Callithrix jacchus: one gene and its partners. The protein of the gene in region 1 purifies or fractionates together with the protein of each later gene. This does not show direct contact. Links are inferred from orthologs where the notes say so. Each region holds a gene or a part of one and is shown in the gene's direction. Other genes may lie near its edges.

The links.
Region 2: the proteins of CEBPB (region 1) and HDAC1 purify together in Homo sapiens (affinity purification with western blotting; 3 studies listed by BioGRID, with this or other methods). This does not show direct contact. The link is inferred for Callithrix jacchus from reciprocal best matches to the Homo sapiens genes CEBPB and HDAC1.
Region 3: the proteins of CEBPB (region 1) and SMARCC1 purify together in Homo sapiens (affinity purification with western blotting; 3 studies listed by BioGRID, with this or other methods). This does not show direct contact. The link is inferred for Callithrix jacchus from reciprocal best matches to the Homo sapiens genes CEBPB and SMARCC1.

Annotation. Positions count from the first base shown.
Region 1 is NC_133506.1:45,725,275-45,731,744, forward strand, and holds CEBPB (CCAAT/enhancer-binding protein beta), read left to right. Parts: upstream 1-2,339; 5' UTR 2,340-2,540; coding exon 2,541-3,575; 3' UTR 3,576-4,190; downstream 4,191-6,470. UniProt on the Homo sapiens protein: Important transcription factor regulating the expression of genes involved in immune and inflammatory responses. Also plays a significant role in adipogenesis, as well as in the gluconeogenic pathway, liver regeneration, and hematopoiesis.
Region 2 is NC_133508.1:68,927,625-68,933,842, forward strand, and holds part of HDAC1 (histone deacetylase 1), read left to right. Parts: intron 1-1,756; coding exon 1,757-1,874; exon of another isoform or gene 1,875-6,218. UniProt on the Homo sapiens protein: Histone deacetylase that catalyzes the deacetylation of lysine residues on the N-terminal part of the core histones (H2A, H2B, H3 and H4).
Region 3 is NC_133516.1:30,347,597-30,353,814, reverse strand, and holds part of SMARCC1 (SWI/SNF complex subunit SMARCC1), read left to right. Parts: intron 1-3,266; coding exon 3,267-3,525; intron 3,526-4,243; coding exon 4,244-4,405; intron 4,406-6,218. UniProt on the Homo sapiens protein: Involved in transcriptional activation and repression of select genes by chromatin remodeling (alteration of DNA-nucleosome topology).

The DNA of each region.
Region 1 (6,470 bases):
GGGAAGCCATTTTGCCTAAGGCAAACGAGGAACCTCTCCTTCTTCTCAGCCTCCTCCATTGTTCATTCATTGAGCACCTTCTGTGTACCAGGCTCTGTTCTAGGCACCGGGGACACAGTGGTGAAGGCCATGGGGACAGACAGCAAGATGGGCAGGTGAGATAATTCCGATCATAGTAAGAATTGTGACAGCAGGGGGGTGTGAGAGGATCGACTGAGGGGCTGGACTTCCCATGGGGAGATTGGACAGGGGGCGGTTTCCTGGAGGAGGCAGCCTTTGGGCTGAGAACTGAGGAGCTGCCTTGGGCAGAGGTGGGGTGACAGTGTTCTTGGTGCATAGGGAACAGCAAATGCATTCATTCACGGGTCCATGTTGAGTGTGCTGCACCCAGGAATTCCTCGTGGGCCAGCCCTCCCTGAGCGGCAGTCTGCAGGGAGACTGAGATAGACCACTAGGAGAATGGAGGCTGGTGATAGGGAAGGAAATTCGCCAGCAGGGGGGACAGAGAGGGCTGCTCTGAAGCCGTGGCCTCTAGCTCAGCCCCGAGTGTCCCATTTTCCAGTGAGGAAGGCCTGGCCGGGTGGCCCTGGGGAAACTGCTGCACCCCTCTGGGCCTTGATCCCTCCCCAGCTCAGAGGCTGCTGGGAAGGCCCAGAAAGCCAGCAGGCTCGGCCAGTGTTCTATCCCCTCCCTCCCTGCCTCCTACCCACCAAGGGTGCCCAGAAATGTTATTTCTCCAGCTCTTGGGGGCAGAGGTCACCCCAGCTCAGCAGATAACATCGAAGGTTGAGCAATGCCCGCCTGCCTGCTGGGGCCAGGGCTGGGGTCAGTGGGCCGGGGGTCAGCCCCTGGCAGGCTGGGAGCTCCTGCCTGGGCAGCCTGGGCTAGGAGTGGCAGAGAGGTGGGCCCAGGGAGCTGCCCCAGTGGCCTAGGAGTGGGTCCCGGAGGGCAAAGGGCCCTCTGACCTGAGCCTACCCAGCAGAGGCGGGCAGTGGTCAGAGGACCTCTGGCCTGTGCTCAAGTCCAGACTGGTGCTTGTCACTTTCCCGTCTGTGAAAAGGCAGCAGCAGAAGCATCTTCCTGGTGGGGTGAAAAAAGTTGAACCTTGGGGTCCAGGCCCACCCCGAGCACAGGGCAGGGACTTGGTAAAAACAGGGGTGTCTCTTCTCTTTCCTGAATGCCACCCCCTCTCCCGTGAGGCCTGGCTTAAGCCGCTCACGGCAGCTTCAGAAACAGAAGCTTTTTGGTCTCTGGGGCTGGCAATAGGTCTTAGGGCCCAGAGAGGGCAGGCATTTCGTGTGGGATGAATGTGGGCGGGACACTAGGCTGTGACCTTGGTATGCCATGCTATGCCCCCTCTGGGCCTCCAGTGGCACAATCCGTGGGGGTCCCTTTTTCTCCGATGTGCTGCCTATAAGGTAAACCTCAGGTTGGGGAGTCTGTAGGAACAATGCCACCACTGCTGACAGTAGGGACACCCTTCATGGACTGCAGCTGGGAGAAGTGAAGGGACTCACCCAAGGTCACACAGTGTGGCAGGGCCGAGCGCCCCCCAACTCCATCCCCATCGCAGGGCCCAGGTCGGGTGGTGCGGTGCGGGGTGGGAGAAGACCCAGGTGTTGAAGCCGCGAGCAGGCGGCAGGTGAGGTGGGCGGGGCGCCGTCCACCAGGGTCCAGCCCCCAGCGGAGCGCGCTCCTGCCCTGTCCCCTCCCCGACCCCCGGGATCCTCATATTGGTGGCTTAAGAGGGAGTCGTCACAGGCCTGGAGTCTCCTTTCTAGAGCCAGGGACCTGGGGAAGGGGTGGGAGTTTAGGAGAGGAAGGGCCACGGGGATGGGTCGCTTCTCCAGGAGCTAGAGCTGCGGCCTGGGGTCTCCAGGGATCGGCCCGGGGAGCGGCCCCCGGTCGGCAGTCCGGGCTCGGCTCGGCCCTCCTGAAACCTCCGCCTCCTCCAGCAGGGGGCGGGCCGCGGCCGCGTCTCCGGGGGGAAGGCGCTCAGGTCGCCCCCTCCTCGGATTCCCCCGCCTTTCAGGGCAGCCTCCAGCCCAGAGGGGCGGTCCGGGGGCGGGGTCGCACCGCCCCCTCTCGCTCCCAATCCCGGGGCGGCCGAGCGCGGGTGGGCAGGGGGCGCGATGCCGCTCCCCCCGCGGCCCGGGGACCCCCGGAAAACGCGCTCCGGGTGCCCGGTCCCTCCGCTGCGCCCCGCCACCGGCCTCCCGGGGGTCTCGGGCGTCCGCGGCCGTGTCCTCCGCGTCCCGGTGGCGGCGGCGGGAGGGGCCGGCGTGACGCACGGTTGCTACGGGCCGCCCTTATAAATAACCGGGCTCAGGAGAAACTTTAGCGAGTCAGAGCCGCGCACGGGACTGGGAAGGGGACCCACCCGAGGGTCCAGCCACCAGCCCCCGCACTAATAGCGGCCACCCCGGCAGCCGCGGCAGCAGCAGCGACGCAGCGGCGACAGCTCACAGCAGGGAGGCCGCGCCACCTGCGGGCCGGCCGGAGCGGGCAGCCCCAGGCCCCCTCCCCGGGCACCCGCGTTCATGCAACGCCTGGTGGCCTGGGACCCAGCATGTCTCCCCCTGCCGCCGCCGCCTGCCTTTAAATCCATGGAAGTGGCCAACTTCTACTACGAGGCGGACTGCTTGGCTGCTGCGTACGGCGGCAAGGCGGCCCCCGCGGCGCCCCCCGCGGCCAGACCCGGGCCGCGCCCCCCCGCCGGCGAGCTGGGCAGCATCGGCGACCACGAGCGCGCCATCGACTTCAGCCCGTACCTGGAGCCGCTGGGCGCGCCGCAGGCCCCGGCGCCCGCCACGGCCACGGACACCTTCGAGGCGGCTCCGCCTGCGCCCGCCCCCGCGCCCGCCTCCTCCGGGCAGCACCACGACTTCCTTTCCGACCTCTTCTCCGACGACTACGGGGGCAAGAACTGCAAGAAGCCGGCCGAGTACGGCTACGTGAGCCTGGGGCGCCTGGGGGCCGCCAAGGGCGCGCTGCACCCCGGCTGCTTCGCGCCCCTGCACCCGCCGCCCCCGCCGCCGCCGCCGCCCGCCGAGCTCAAGGCGGAGCCGGGCTTCGAGCCCGCGGACTGCAAGCGGAAGGAGGAGGCCGGGGCGCCGGGCGGCGGCGCAGGCATGGCGGCGGGCTTCCCGTACGCGCTGCGCGCTTACCTCGGCTACCAGGCTGTGCCGAGCGGCAGCAGCGGGAGCCTCTCCACGTCCTCGTCGTCCAGCCCGCCCGGCACGCCGAGCCCCGCCGACGCCAAGGCGCCCCCGGCCGCCTGCTACGCTGGGGCCGCGCCGGCGCCCTCGCAGGTCAAGAGCAAGGCCAAGAAGACCGTGGACAAGCACAGCGACGAGTACAAGATCCGGCGCGAGCGCAACAACATCGCCGTGCGCAAGAGCCGCGACAAGGCCAAGATGCGCAACCTGGAGACGCAACACAAGGTCCTGGAGCTCACGGCCGAGAACGAGCGGCTGCAGAAGAAGGTGGAACAACTGTCGCGCGAGCTCAGCACCCTGCGGAACTTGTTCAAGCAGCTTCCCGAGCCCTTGCTCGCCTCCTCCGGCCACTGCTAACGCGGCCCCCGCGCGCGTCCCCCTGCCGGCCGGGGCCGAGACTCCGGGGAGCGCCCGCACCCGCGCCCGCGCCCCCGCCCCCGCCCCCGGCGGCGCCGGCAAAACTTTGGCACTGGGGCACTTGGCAGCGCGGGGAGCCCGTCGGTAATTTTAATATTTTATTATATATATATATATATCTATATTTTTGTCCAAATCAACCGCACATGCAGATGGGGCGCCCGCCCGTGGTGTTATTTAAAGAAGAAACGTCTATGTGTACAGATGAATGACTCTCTGCCTCTCCCTCTGCCCCTCTCCAGGCGCCGGCGGGCGGGCCGGTTTCGAAGTTGATGCAATCGGTTTAAACATGGCCGAACGCGTGTGTACATGGGACTGACGCAACCCACGTGTAACTGTCAGCCGGGCCCTGAGTAATCGCTTAAAGATGTTCCTACGGGCTTGTTGCTGTTGATGTTTTGTTTTGTTTTGTTTTTTGGTCTTTTTTTTTTTTTTTGTATTATAAAAATAATCTATTTCTATGAGAAAGGCGTCTGTATATTTTGGGAATCTTTTCCGTTTCAAGCATTAAGTAAGAACACTTTTAATAAACTTTTTTTTGAGAATGGTTACAAAGCCTTTTGGGGGCAGTAATTGGCTTTTGTTTTTTTTTTTCTTTATTTTGGATTTGTTGGATTTTGTTTTTGCGTTTCTGGTGTGTAGGGGGTTGTGTGTGGGGAAGCTGCTGTTATTTTTGGAGGTTTTGGTGGTTGGGTGGGGGTGTTGCAGCTGGTTTTTCTGCCTCTGCTACTCCTCCCCCCACCCACAGGGTCTGCTTGGAGATGGGGTTCCAGCTCTGGGGAAAAGGGGAGAACAGTGATGGCTCAGGCTTTCAGGCTGACTCAGAGTCCCTGGGCGCTGGGACGGGTGGCTGGGAACCCTGCTTGAGAAGGGAGTCCAGGGCCTCTGGCTGGTCCGGAGTGTCAGGCTTGGGTTTGGAAGGGCTGGGACGTCTGTGACCCCTGTCCTGTGTTTGGGGATCGTAGGCACGCCTGTGACTGTAAGAGGAGAGGGTTCAGGTCTTGGTCCGAGTCAGGGCAGATGCCTGTGGTAAGTGTAGTAGGGTGGGTTGTTTAAAACACAGTTTGTGTATACGTGTGTATTTTAAAGAGGGGAGCCTGGGTATGTGGGCAAGTCTGTGTTTGTGTGTCCCTGGCCAGCAGGAGGGGAGAAGCCAGGCCAGGTGGAGGGAGGTGGGGAAGGGGTTCTCACACTTTGATTCCCTTTCCTTGGGATGGGGGGGCTCATCACTTGCCCTTTTTTGCCCAAACATGGACACTGAGCCCACCATACCTGCTTGCTCAAGGTGGCTGAGTCCAGGCACGAACCTGGGGCTGCTAGCCCTTATTCCCTGGGACAGGTTCCTCTTCCCTGCCCCCTGATCCCTCTGACCCTTCCAGCTTCTCCCTGCACCCCCACCCCCATGCAGCCCCGGATGGCATTCCTGAGAGTTGAGGATGTAGATGGATGTGAGTGGATGCATGTACAGCGTCCCACAGTGCCTGGCATGCAAGAGGTGTTATATAAGCGCTTGCTCTTGTTATTATTTTTCGCTGGGAAGCTGCTGGCATTTGGCACCCCAGTCTCCAGTGCAGCGCCAGTGTGGCCACTACTTGCCAGGGGCCGGCATCTGGTAAACACTGGACCTGCCCCATCCCATTTAGACCTCACAACAACCTTTGGGGAGGTGGGGACTGTTATGATGCCTGTTTCTAGAGGTGGGGAGCAGCTTTGGGCTGTCCGATCCCTATGGGCAAGACAAGGTTGGGGGTTGCCCTGCTCTGAGGAATTCAGGGGCAGCAGGGGTTGTAGACTGGCCTGCCAAAGGCCTGGGGCAGTCTGGGATCTCAGGAGCAGCTGCTGATACGGTGGTTCCTGGTTTGAGAATGGGAAATGTGTTGCCCCTCCTTTTCCCTTTGAGGGGCTGGTTGTGCTTTACTGTGGGAGCCCAGGGCATGGGGAACAGACAGCAACACTCAGCCCCCACCATCGCAGCGCTGAGGATTCTGGCAAGCTCCACCTCCCTAAGGCCAGTGTCTCCTGATGGTGGCTCGAGGGCTATGCAGATTGCTGGACACAGATAACCTCACTTCAACCTGGGGCCTGCAGTGTGGCCCTGACCACGTCTCCTCCCAGCCCTGCGCAACTGGACGCCTGGCCAGGCACGCCTTCAGAGCCTCGAAGTCAGTCCAGTCCCAAGCCCCACTGTCTCAATGGTTTCTGTCAGTACCAGTGACTGGCACATTGGCTCAACCTCTAGGATTTACTTGTGAAGGCAGAGGCTGTGGGGCTGGACCTAGGGAAGGAGGGCCGTGGGGACAGTTGAAACTTAGGAACAACTCTGAAATCCCTGCTCCCTCCTTTGTCACCGAGAGTTGGCTGGTGGCTGCTGCTCACCCAAATGAGGTGAGAAGGAAGCAGCGTGGCCAAAGAGTCATCCCCTTCAATCTGTGTGCCCCGTGGCTTGTTTCCCGAGCGCTGTCTTGCAAGCAGCAGACAGCCAGTTCTTCACACACATCTTGCTTTCATCTACATAAGCGCCCCATATGAGGTATTACACCCATTTTGAAAAGTGCAAATTGAGGTCCACGGAAGTGAGTTTTGTGCTCAAGGTGGGCAGCGCGGAGCAGGTTACAAAACTATTTGACCCTGAAGTCTGTGGGGAAAGTTTGGGGCTGGGAGCCTGGCTAGTGATCCCAGTTCCTCTTTCAAATCCCAGGCCCTTCTTGGAGGGCTCCTTGCCTGGCCTCAAGTTCAGGCACCCCAAGCCCCAGAACTGCAAACATCAGTTTCACAGTTTGGAAGCAACAGAAAGTGAATTTGAACCTGAGCCCTCGGGCTGCCTCTAAAGAGGGC
Region 2 (6,218 bases), on another chromosome or scaffold:
GTACAGTGTACCTGGCCATGAACTTTAAAAGTATCTTTTTGTTTTGTTTTGTTTTTCTTTTTTGTTTGTTTCATTTATCTTTTGCATTTATTTATTTTCTTTTTTTTGTTTTTTTTTGTGTGTGTGTTTTGTTGTTCAGAGTTGAAAAACTTGGGAGTCTGAACCTATTCTGGCTCAGAGAGGTTGCCTGATAATTTTTTTAAATTTTATTTTTATTTTATTTAATTAATTTATTCATTGAGATGGAGTCTTGCTTTGTTGCCCAGGCTGGAACGCAGTGACACTGTCTCAGCTCACTGCAACCTCTGCCTCCCGTTCAAGCGATTCTCCTGCCTTAGCCTCCTAAGTAGCTGGGATTACAAGTGCCCACCACCATGCCCCACTAATTTTTGTATTTTTGGTAGAGATGGGGTTTCACTATGTTGGCCAGGGTGGTCTCAGTCCTCAGGTCATCTGCCCACCTCTAATTTCAGGGTTGACTACAGGGTCATGTGACCCAGGCTAGAGTACAGTGGTTCAGCTCACTGCAACCTCCACCTCCCAAAGTGCTGGGATTGCAAGTGTGAGCAATCCCAGCCCACAAAATTATTCCTTTTTATTATTAAATATTATATAAAGGCCAGGCACGGTGGCTCACACCTATAATCCCAGCACTTTGGGAGGCCGAGGCAGGCAGATCATGAGGTCAAAAGATCGAGACCATCCTGGCCAACATGGTGAAATTCCGTCTCTACTAAAAACAAAAAAAAATTAACGGGGCGTGGTGGCATGCACCTGCAGTCCCAGCTACTCAGGAAGCTGAGGCAGGAGGATCACTTGAGGCAGAGGTTGCAGTGAGCCAAGATTGCGCCACTGTACTCCAGCCTGGTGACAGAACAAGACTCCATCTCAAAATCAATAAATATTATATAAAATTATGGACAGGCCGGGCGTGGTAGCTCAAGCCTGTAATCCCAGCACTTTGGGAGGCCGAGGCGGGTGGATCACGAGGTCAAGAGATCAAGACCATCCAGGTCAACATGGTGAAACCCCGTCTCTACTAAAAATACAAAAAATTAGCTGGACATGGTGGCGCGTGCCTGTAATCCCAGCTACTCAGGAGGCTGAGGCAGGAGAATTGCTTGAACCCAGGAGGCGGAGGTTGCAGTGAGCCGAGATCGCGCCATTGCACTCCAGCCTGGGTAACAAGAGCGAAACTCCGTCTCAAAAAAAAAAAAAAAAAATACAAAAATTAGCTGGGCATGATGGTGGGCTCCTGTAATCTCAACTGTTCGGGAGGCTGAGGCAGGAGAATCACTTGAACCCGGGAGGCTGAGGTTGCAGTGAGCCGAGATCATGCTATAGCACTGCAACACTCCAGTCCAGGTGACAGAGCAAGACTCTGTCTCAAAAAAAAAAAAAAAGGTAATAATTTTGTAAAACACTTTACAGTTTACAAAGAGATTTAACAGTCTCATCCAATTCTCACAACTTCCCTGTGCGGTCCATGTTGTCCCTGTTTAGTAAATAAGGAAATGGAGGCTCAAGAGATAAGAACTTGCCTAAGTCATAGAGCTTGAGCTGCTCTAGGTCTTCTGATACATCTTGTTTGCCTAGTTAGATGATAAATTTCTTGAGGCCTGAATCTAATCAGTTATTTCTTTTTATTCTTCATAGCAGCTAGCTCCATGCTGTGCAGAAATATAAATGTTCAGACTAGATTGAGTGGACTGGCAATGGTCAAAATAACTTGCCCTTTCTCCCTTCTGCCCTCTAGCGCCCTCACAAAGCCAATGCTGAGGAGATGACCAAGTACCACAGCGATGACTACATTAAATTCTTGCGCTCCATCCGTCCAGATAACATGTCCGAGTACAGCAAGCAGATGCAGAGATGTAAGTCCATTCTGTTCCCTCCACACTCTCCAGCCCCCAGTTGCATCTCCCTTTCCACTGCAGAGGCCTGCTCTCCTGTCCTTGAGCCTCCCCTTCAGTGGACACCTGATTTCCCCTGCCTCCCAAAGGTGCCAGAGTGCTTTTACCCTTCAAGTTTGGTTTTTCTTTTATATATCTGTATATTATACCTCCTTGTTTCATCTGAAAGTCTGATTTCTCATGTTTCCTCATTGTAAATGATAGAGGTAGGACTTTTTCTGATTATGTTCACAACACTGTTCTAAGAGTACTGTAATTATTGTAGTGGAAAAATAATTTTCCTGACCCAGGACGGGGAGACAATAGATACAGTAAAATTTAACTCTAACTCTCAGCTGACTGGGCAACTCACTTCCCCTCAGATTCTTCTTTTGTAAAGTGGGCTGGGCCACATGATCTCTCATTTCTGTCCAACTGTAACTGTTTTGACTTTGTGGGTATTAGTTGAGAATTTAGAGGCCACTCAGGACAGATTCTAGGCAGTGCTGTCTTTGAGATGAGGTCATTCTGCCCTTGACCCCTTAGACTTGAAACTTAAGAACAGGTCCATCTTAGAAGCCACACTTAGTTTGTGGAATCATGGGGATTATTTTAGCTGTAGGGAAAAAAAAAATGTTCAAATTCGGCACAAAATTATCATATGTGACTTCCCCCTTGTGTTATTTTAGAAATTATCTCTTAGCATCTAAGACTTCATATAGTGTAGCAGCATTGTCCCAGAAGAAGTTTTGATTAACTTATGACAGCTTATGTTGTGTCAGAAAATATTCGGCACTTGTTTATTGCTGCTGACCACAAGGTAGTCTTATTCCCGAGGAAGAAAGTTATTTGTTAGTTATAATAACTGTACAGTGGTATTGATGACAGAACCACAGAGACTTTCCTTGAAGCATTGAGCTGCTTTGCTACCAACAACTGGAGGAGCTGCCAGCTGCTGAGTGAGGTATTTGCTCTCTGAATTGCAGGGTCTCATTCCCCTCCAAGATGAGACAAATTCATGCTTTTCCTGTAGATGGCTTTAGAGGTTTCCTTAACCCATTTAGGCCAAGAATCAGGCTCTACTCACAGGAGGGTGGGCTCTTACTAGAGGAGCAGCTTGGTATTAAAGCAAGAAAATGACCTTTAATGTCTTAGTTTGAATCCTTGGTCTCCTAAACCCTCTGGTGTTATTTTCCCTCTTTAAGAGGAAGACAGGCCAGGCACAGTGATTCATGGCTGTAATCCTAGCCCTTTGGGAAGCAATCCTCAAGAGGATTGCTTGAGCCCAGACAGGAGTTTGAGACCAGCCTGGGCAACATAGTGAGACCCCCATCTCTACAAAAGTAAAAAAGTTGGCTGGGCATGGTAGTACACACCTGTGGTTCCTGCTACTCAGGAAGCTGAAGAGGGAGGATCTGTTGAGCCTGGAAGGTCAAGGCTGCAGTGAGCCATGATTATATCACTGCACTCCAGCCTGGGCAACAGAGTGAGACCAAAAAAATTTTTAAAAGACAGTAATAGTCAAGGATGGGGGGATAAGTAAAGATAATGTATTTGAAGTATCTACCCTCAATGAATAGTAGCTTTTGCTATTATAACTTATTTTTGTTATTTACAAACTTATCAAGGCAGAAAATATTATGCCCTTAGGAGTGTGCAGGTTCTGCTCTGGTGCTCCAGTTTTTCTGAATCCAGCATTCTAAAGTTGTACATTAAAAAATTCAGTCTGGCCGGGCACAGTGGCTCATGCCTGTAATCCCAGCACTTTGGGAGGCCAAGGCGGGCGGATCACCTGGGGTTGGATGTTTAAGACACAATGGCACATGCCTGTGATTCTGGCTACTCAGGAGCCTGAGGCAAGAGGATCCCTTGAGCCCAGTTCAAGGCTGCATTGAAGGACGGTCTCATCTTGCCACCATGCTCCAGGCTGGGCAGTATAGCAAAAACTTAAGTCAAAGAAAACAACAATAAAACACACACACATACACACACCCCATCCCACACACCTAACCTAGGAAGTTATACTTGTGATAAGACCAAATACGTCAGGTTTCCTTGCTCATAGCTGAAATGTAATAAACCTTTTCTGGTCACTTTGACAGCCTTGATCAGAAGTTCTGACCTAATATTTAGCAAGCGAAAATGGGAACACAAGTAAATGCATTTAGGGGGCTTATGGTGAAAATGTGATAAAAGATTGGTAGAAAATTGGGAGACATTCTCATCCATTTTATAAACATGTAAACTTTTCCAGGCACACAGCAAGGTGGTGATAGAATGCAGAATGGAACTCTAGTCCCCTAGTTCTAGAGTTATTTAAAATATAGTGCATATAAAATATTTTAGACACATAGGCCAGGCACGGTGGCTCATGCCTGTAATCCCAGCACTTTGGGAGGCCGAGGCCGGTGAATCACTTGATTTGAGACCAGCCTGGCCAGCACGGCAATACCCTGCCTCTACTAAAAATACAAAAATTAGCTGTGTGTGGTGGCATATGGCTGTAATCGTATCTACTGGGGAGGCTGAGGGATGAGAATCGCTTAACCTGGGAGGCGGAGGTTGCAGTGAGCCAAGATTGTGCCACTGTACTCCAGGCTGGGTGACAGAGCAAGACCCCATCTCAAAAAAAGAAAAAAACGTATTTTAGACACACACAAAAAGCATAAAAAGTAATATAATGAACATTAGTGTGCCCACTGCCCAGCCTGAGGAAAAAGACATTATTAGCTGGGCTCAGTGGCTTAAGCCTGTAAACCCAGCACTTGGCTGAGGCAGGTGGATCAAGAGGTTAGGAGTTCAAGACCAGCCTGGCCAACATGATGAAACCCTGTCTCTATATACAAAATTAGCCAGGCATGGTGGCACATGCCTGTAATCCCAGGTACTCGGGAGCCTGAGGCAGGAGAATCACTTGAACTTGGGAGGTGGGAGTTGCAATGAGTTAAGATTGTGCCACTGCACTCCAGCCTAGGCAACAGAGGGTGACTCCATCTCAAAAACAAGAAAAAAAGAAAACATTATCAATACCGTTGATGCCCCCATGGGCATCTTTCCTTGATCACATACCCTTTCTCCCCCACTCCCACAACCCCCCACCCTATTACTAGCATGGCCAAGGTATAAGCACTGTCCTGAGGTTAGTGTTTAATCCCCACATCTCTTTCTGCAATGAGCATTTTACTGCCTTCTCTGCCTACCTCTGCTTCCACCTCACTCCTAGTATTGCTTCCCTTTAGTCTAAAGGTAGTCAGAACGAGAAAAGTGTTTATAGCAGAAAGAGAGAAGAGAGAAAACCCATAGAAAAGTCCTCCCTAAGGCTGGGGGCGGTGGCTCACGACTGTAATCCCAGCACTTTGGGAGGCTGAGGTGGGTGAATCACTTGAACCTGGGAGGTGGAGGTTGCAGTGAGCAGAGATCACGCCAGGCATTCCAGCCTGGGAGACAGATTGAGACTCCATCTCAAAAAAAAAAAGAAAGAAAAGTCCTCCCTAGCCTCACAGATTAGCTCACCTGAGTATCTGCTCTTCCATCTTCCCCTTTCCATCTCTAATCACATAGCTTATTGACTGGGAATAAGTGGGCTGGTCATTTGAGCCACATGCTGGTTTGGGGCCTGAAGAAAAATATATATTTTTTTCTCATGTCCAAAACACCCATTTCTTCCCATGGGGGCTCCATATCCAAATAAGAGTATAAACAAAGCTTTGGAAACACAAGCATGCCAAACTCTGTCCTGGAGGAAGTGGCCAGAGAGGGAAATCAGTTGCCAATGGATAAACAGCCTGGACCCAGGGACCAAAGTCTTATTTACACAGCCTCCCAGTGTTTACCCAGGAAATGAGGAAGAGAGCCACCCGCTGCATACTCCCTCATGCAGCCCCACTTCCTCAGAGCACCTGATCTTGGCACCTCCAAGTTCAAGGCAGACCAGAGCTGGTAATTCCGGTGGTTATTGTAGATATTGAGCTTCTACTGTGTCTTGTGATTTTACATCACAGTCCAAACTGGGCTCTTCTGCTCTCATCCAGGGCACGCCTTCCTCTACTTTAGGAACCCCTGTTGATAACAGTGGGTACAGTAGAAGGCTGGGCAAGAGAGTAAGTATGCAGCCCCACACCTGCCTCTGACTTCCTGTAGCTCATTGATGTCTCACAGCAGTTACCTTTTCTTTCTTTCCTTTTTTTTTTTTTTTTGTTTGAGATGGAGTCTCGCTCTGTTGCCTAGGCTGGCTAGAGTGCAGTGGTGCGGTCTCGGCTCATTGCAACCTCCGCCTCCCAGATTCAAGTGGTTCTCCTGCCTCAGCCTCCTGAGTATCTGAGATTA
Region 3 (6,218 bases), on another chromosome or scaffold:
ATTCCTTTCTTGGTTTAGTTCAGTTTCCTGTCGTTTGAATTCAGTTAACTTTATTAGGTATTGTGCTTCAGACACTATGACAGACACTGCAGGTTGAGATCTGTAGGACACAATCTGTACCTTTAAGGAATTCATGGTCTAAGGTGGCAGAGACAGATAAAACACAAAGCTTGAATGCAGATTTCCCAACTTTGTGATTAGAGGTATGTTCAGAGCACAAGAGCTGTACAAAGGAGTTGCTTTGCAAATAGGCTAGGTGGATAAGACATAATGAACAGCCTTCTGGGAATGGTATAGCTGTGTTGGTCCTAAAACATGGATGTTTCTCGTGCAGAACAAATGGTTCACAGGCACAATACCTAGGAATAGATCCAGTGGGGTCTGTGTATTCTTGAAACATGAAAAGTAGGTAATAGGGTAGAAGACATAGGAAGGCAGTGTCCTGATCATGTTTGGCTTAGTTTCATAAGATAATGACATATAATAAAATAGTTTTAGGGAGGAGTGTTTTGTGTAAAATGTATTTCACTCTAGCAGCATGGAGAAGGATGAAATTAAGGATAGAAAGGTAATTACAAGAATCCATTTATGAGGCCAAGATGGAAGGATCACTTGAGGCCAGGAATTGCACAGCAGCCTGGGCAACATAGCAAGACCCTGTCTCTTAAAAAAGAAAAAAAATTAACCTGGTTTATGGCAGGAAGAATGAAGCTGTTTTGTAGTAATATAAGATACTTATTAAAAACTTTAATTGAATCATCCTCCTTCCTGGCCAGTGCGTTACCATATTATTCTCTTTTCAAAACATTTCTTTAATTTCCCTCTCTTATTAACACTACTGTCAGTTCCCAGGCTCAGACATTTACTGATTCTCAGCTCTATGCTGTGCTGTATGCTGATTCTTGCTTAGATTTTGCATTTCAGAGGTTCCCCAACTCCACCTCTATTCTGGAAAAAACTTTCTGAACTTTATTATTCCTTGGCTGAAGGAACATAAAAAAATATTTTTAAAATAAAACTTCATTGGAAAAGGGCATGATATAGCATATCTAGAAAGTTCCTATTTATAGTTAGAAACGTAATACAGCCCCAGTAGCTATATTTCTGCTTTCATGGACCCTAGTGAGACAGATTTTTTTTTTCTTTTTTCTTACAATCTGGGTCTTTCAAAAAGTAATTCCTTCTCAAACTATCTAAGGTTATCAAATATCCAGAGGTCACTGAATATCCAGAGGAAACCCAGAATTAGCCTAGTTTTTCAAGGGATTTAATGAGTCAGTCCATTTGCTGGCTTGGGTTTTGAGAAATCCTCTACCATTCTAGCAAAAATGAAAGCCTGAGCAGCAGTTGAAACCCAGAGTTAAGAATTAATTGATGGCCAGGTCCACTGTTTGACACCTGTAATCTCAGCACTTGAGGAGGCTGAGATGGGAGGATTGCTTGAGCTCAGGATTCTGTGACCATCCTGGGTAATATTGTGAGACCCTGTCTCTAAAAATTAAAAACAAAAACCTTTGAAGAAAAATAACCGAAAAGTAAACAGAGACAACTATTGTTATAGAAAACTCATCTCACAGTGTAGATGAGCAAATTAGGCTCTAGCACAAGGCTTTTCAGTTGGAGCATTCAATATCGACATTTGGGCCAGATTTTTTTGTTGTTAGGGTGGAGGATTCATGTATGTTTTACAGCATACCTAGCCTCTCCTTGCTAGACACCAGTAGCACTTCCCCAGTTGGGTCAACCGAAAATAACCGCAGACATTGCCATGTCCTCAAGGGGGCAAAAATTACCCTTCATTGAAAACCATGGCCCTGGAGAGAAGGGTGTTAGAGTAGCAACTTCAGCAGGTCTCTAAATAAATTCTTTTTATCCAATTAATTCCCAACTTTCTTAGCACCATGTAGATGTGGTTTTCTTTCTACCATTCTTTCGGTTTTTCCCTTGGAGACTCATTTTACTCTGTTTGTTTGTTTGTTTCAGGATTTATAAAACTAGAAATATATGTACTTTATACCTTTTAGATTTATCAATTTCTACTAAAATGAAGCCTACTTGGACTTTGAGATTGTACTGAATTTGTTGCAGTTCAACTTGGAAAAGAATTGACATCTTAATACTGAGACTTCTAGTGAATGAACACAATATATCTTTATCTTATTTAGATCTTTGAGTTCTCTCATGTTTTACTCATGTTGCTCATATACATACTTTGTTATGTTTATTCCTAAATATTTCATTATGCTGTTTAAGACAGGGTCTTACTCTGTTTGTCAGGCTGGTCTTTAACTCCTTGGTTCGAGAGATTCTCTCACCTCAGCTCCCTGAGTAGCTGGGACTATAGATGTGTGCCACCACACCCAGCTTTTAGGTTATTTTAAATACTTTTTTCTTCCTGTTTAAAATTGTTCATTGTTATTATATATGGAAATATAATTGAGTTTTTCTGTTGTCCTTCTATCCTGTGACTTTGCTCAGCTATTTAGTTTTAGTACTTTTTTTTAATAGCTTCCTTAGAAATATCTATATAAACAGTCATGTCTGTATTTTAAAAAGTTTTACTTCTTTCTTTCCCTTTTTCTTTTTTCTTTCTTCTCTCTTGTCTCTGTTTTTCTGTTTCTCTCTCTCCGTCTTTCTCCCTCCCCACCTCCCCTGCCTTTCCTCCCCTTCCCCTTCCCCCTCCCCTCCCCTCCCTCTCCCCCTCCCCTCCCTCGGCTTCCTTACCTCCCTCCTCCCCTCCCCCCCTTGCTTTCTGTGTTTTTTTTTTTTCTTTTCTTTTTGCTCTTATTGCCCAGACTGGAGTGCAGTGACAAGATCTTGGTTCACGTCTGCCTCCCAGGTTCAAGAGATTATTGTACCTCAACCTCCCAAGTAGCTGGGATTACAGGCGTGCACCACTGTGTTGGCTAATTTTTGTATTTTTAGTAGAGATGGGGTTTCATCATGTCGTTGGCCATGTTGCTGAACTCCTGACCTCAGGTGATCCACCCATCTCAACCTCCCAAAGTGCTTGGATTATAGATTTGAGCCACCACACCTGGCCTACTATTTCTTTCTAGTATGCATGCCGTTTATTTATTGTTTCTCGCCTGATTGAAAACCTAATATAAGGAAAGCCATTTCCTTATGTATATTTCCTTACATATGTTTCCTTATGTATAATATATTGCATTAATTTTTTTTGAAACAGCTATATAAAAAACTTGTAATACTACACATTACTTTCTTGTTACCTGACATGAAAGCTTCTGGTTTTTCTATTTTAGGCCCTGGAGATGTACAAGGACGATTGGAATAAAGTGTCAGAACATGTCGGAAGTCGTACTCAGGATGAATGTATCCTCCACTTTTTGAGACTTCCCATTGAGGACCCATACCTTGAGAATTCAGATGCTTCCCTTGGGCCTTTGGCCTACCAGCCTGTCCCCTTTAGTCAGTCAGGAAATCCAGTCATGAGTACTGTTGCTTTTTTGGCATCTGTGGTGGACCCTCGCGTGGCATCTGCTGCAGCAAAAGCGGCTTTAGGTATGGACTTCCCTAAACCATCTCCTCAACAGAAAAACTGAATTTAAATATTATTAGCTGTTACATTCATTCTTTAAAAATATAAATAACAAAAATCAGATATTACCCATGAAAAGTACCATATTACCATGTTCTTTATAAAAGTATTTGGAAATAATGCACCTTAAAATTAAGAGCCTTAGGAATTGGAGGGACAGAGGTTTTTGTTTTTAAATTCCAACAGTATGTAGAGGGTACCATAAAGAGATTTTTTTATTGTATATTTTGTGATTAATTTAGAATTTGATATAACTAGCAATATTTAATATTTACCGATGACATGTTAATTATAACTAGAACTTTCTCACATCATGGAACTCTTTCTTGGTTTTATAGATGTTTAGTTCTTGTTGTTTTTGTTTCTGTGATTTATTAATCTAGTAAGCAAAGTTAAATATGGACAGCAATTTTCATTATTGTTCGTATAAGTTGAAAGGTATCTTTTATTTCAAGGCACTGTGTGATGTGTAGGATAAAATCGAGAGTCATAGAATTTTATTATTGTCTATTTTTATCTCATTTAGTTCTCTCATATCGCTGGTATAGAGGGACTGAGAGCCTGGAGAGGTTGCTACACCTAAGACAATAATATTGTGTTGTGTTTTCTGGTGGCGGTTTTACATTGAAACAAATTTTTCTGCAAAATTAGATTGCTGTTCTATTTTTATTCTTGAACCAGAGGAATTTTCTCGGGTCCGGGAGGAGGTACCACTGGAATTGGTTGAAGCTCATGTCAAGAAAGTACAAGAAGCAGCACGAGCCTCTGGGAAAGTGGATCCCACCTACGGCCTAGAGAGCAGCTGCATTGCGGGCACAGGGCCCGATGAGCCAGAGAAGCTTGGTGAGTCACTGCTGCTTTCCAGGACAGGGTTAATTTATGTTTGTATTCTGTCAGCTTACTTAAATAATTGGGTTTACTTGCACTTAAAAGTGAGTACAGTGATCAGTATAAGCTTGTCTTTTAAGATTATTACATGGCTTTTTTTTCCCTCTTGTTTGTTTCTTTTAGTAGCTAGAACTAAAAATTTGTCTTGTAACTGTTAATGGTATTGCAGTTGTAAATTATCTGCTTGCTGTTTATAGATCTAGGTTTTGAATAGACAGATATAAGAATCCTGAAAGATGCATGGAACTATAGGTGAAAAAAAGGAATACTGAAAGGACTTATGATCATGTTAATATGTTGCTGAGTGAATTTAAATTTGTTTCGGTTTTCTTTTTAGCTGAGGAAACATTACTGTAACATAAAATTCATCATCTTAACTGCTTAAAAGTATATAATCTAGTAGCTTCTAGTATATTTACAATGCTGTGTGTCTATTACCACTATCTAATTCCAGAACATTTTTATCACCCCAAAAGGAAATCACATACTTCTTAAGCAGTTGCTCCCTGTCTCTTCTGCTCTTCAGTGGTAACCACTAACAATCTGCTTTCTGTCTCTATGGGTTTGCCTATTCTGGACATTTAATATAAACAGAATCATATAATATGTGGCCTTTTGTGTCTACTTCTTTGACTTAGCATATGTTTTCAGGTTTATCCATGTTGTAGCATGCATCCATACCTCATTCTTGTCAGTGATGAATCTTTCTTTGGGTGGATATACCCAATTATATTTATCAGTTTATGGACATTTTTTATTGTTTATACTTTTACACTACTATGAAAAATGTTGCTGTGAATGCTTGTGAACAAGCTTTTTTGTGAACAGAGGGATTTCACTTCTTTTGGTTGGGTATATATACCTAGGGGTTGAATTGCTTAGTTACATGGTAATTCTGTTTACCTTTTTGAGAAACTGCCACCCTGTTTTTCATGGTGGCTGTACCAATTTAGGTTCCTACCCATAATGTATGCGTAAGTTCTTCACATTCCTGTCAATACTTGTTTTCTCTATTTTTACCTTAATAGCCAATTAGTGGTTTGATGTTGGGGTTTTTATTTGCATTGATGACGAATGATCTTGAATATCATGTGTTTATTGGCCATTTGTGTATCTTCTTTCAGAAATACCTACTCAGATTCTTGCCCCCCCCCCCCACTTTTTTTCTTAGTAGACTTTATGTTTTAGAGCAGTTTTAGGTTCATAGGAAAATTTAGTAGACATTACAGAGTTTCTGTATACCACCTGACAACCTCCCACATGCAGTTTTCCCCACTTATCAATATATCCAACACCAGAGAGTACATTTGTTATAGCTGATAAACCTACTTTAACACATCATCATCAACCATAGTCCAAAGCTTTAGTTTATTCTGTAATTGATTCTCACATGTTCAACCACCGTCCCTTTTTGTTTATTGGATTTATTTTGTTTTTATTTTAATAAATTTGACTTGGCCTTTGTAAATAATCAATTTAACATGGTATCAGATTTGGTTTGCTAGTATTTTGTTGAACATTTTTGCATCTGTATTCATCAGGGATATTGCTTGTAGTTTTTTTCTGTGATACATTTGTCTAGTTTTGGTGTTACAGTAATACCAACCTCAAAGAATTAGTTAGGATTTGTTCTGTTTTTTTTTAGAAGTTTGAGAAGCATTGGAGTTAATTCTTTAAATGTTTGGTAATATTCACCTGTGGAGCCACAGAGTTCTGGGCTTTTCTTTCTTGATTACTGATTTTGTCTCTTAACTTATAATTCTACTGA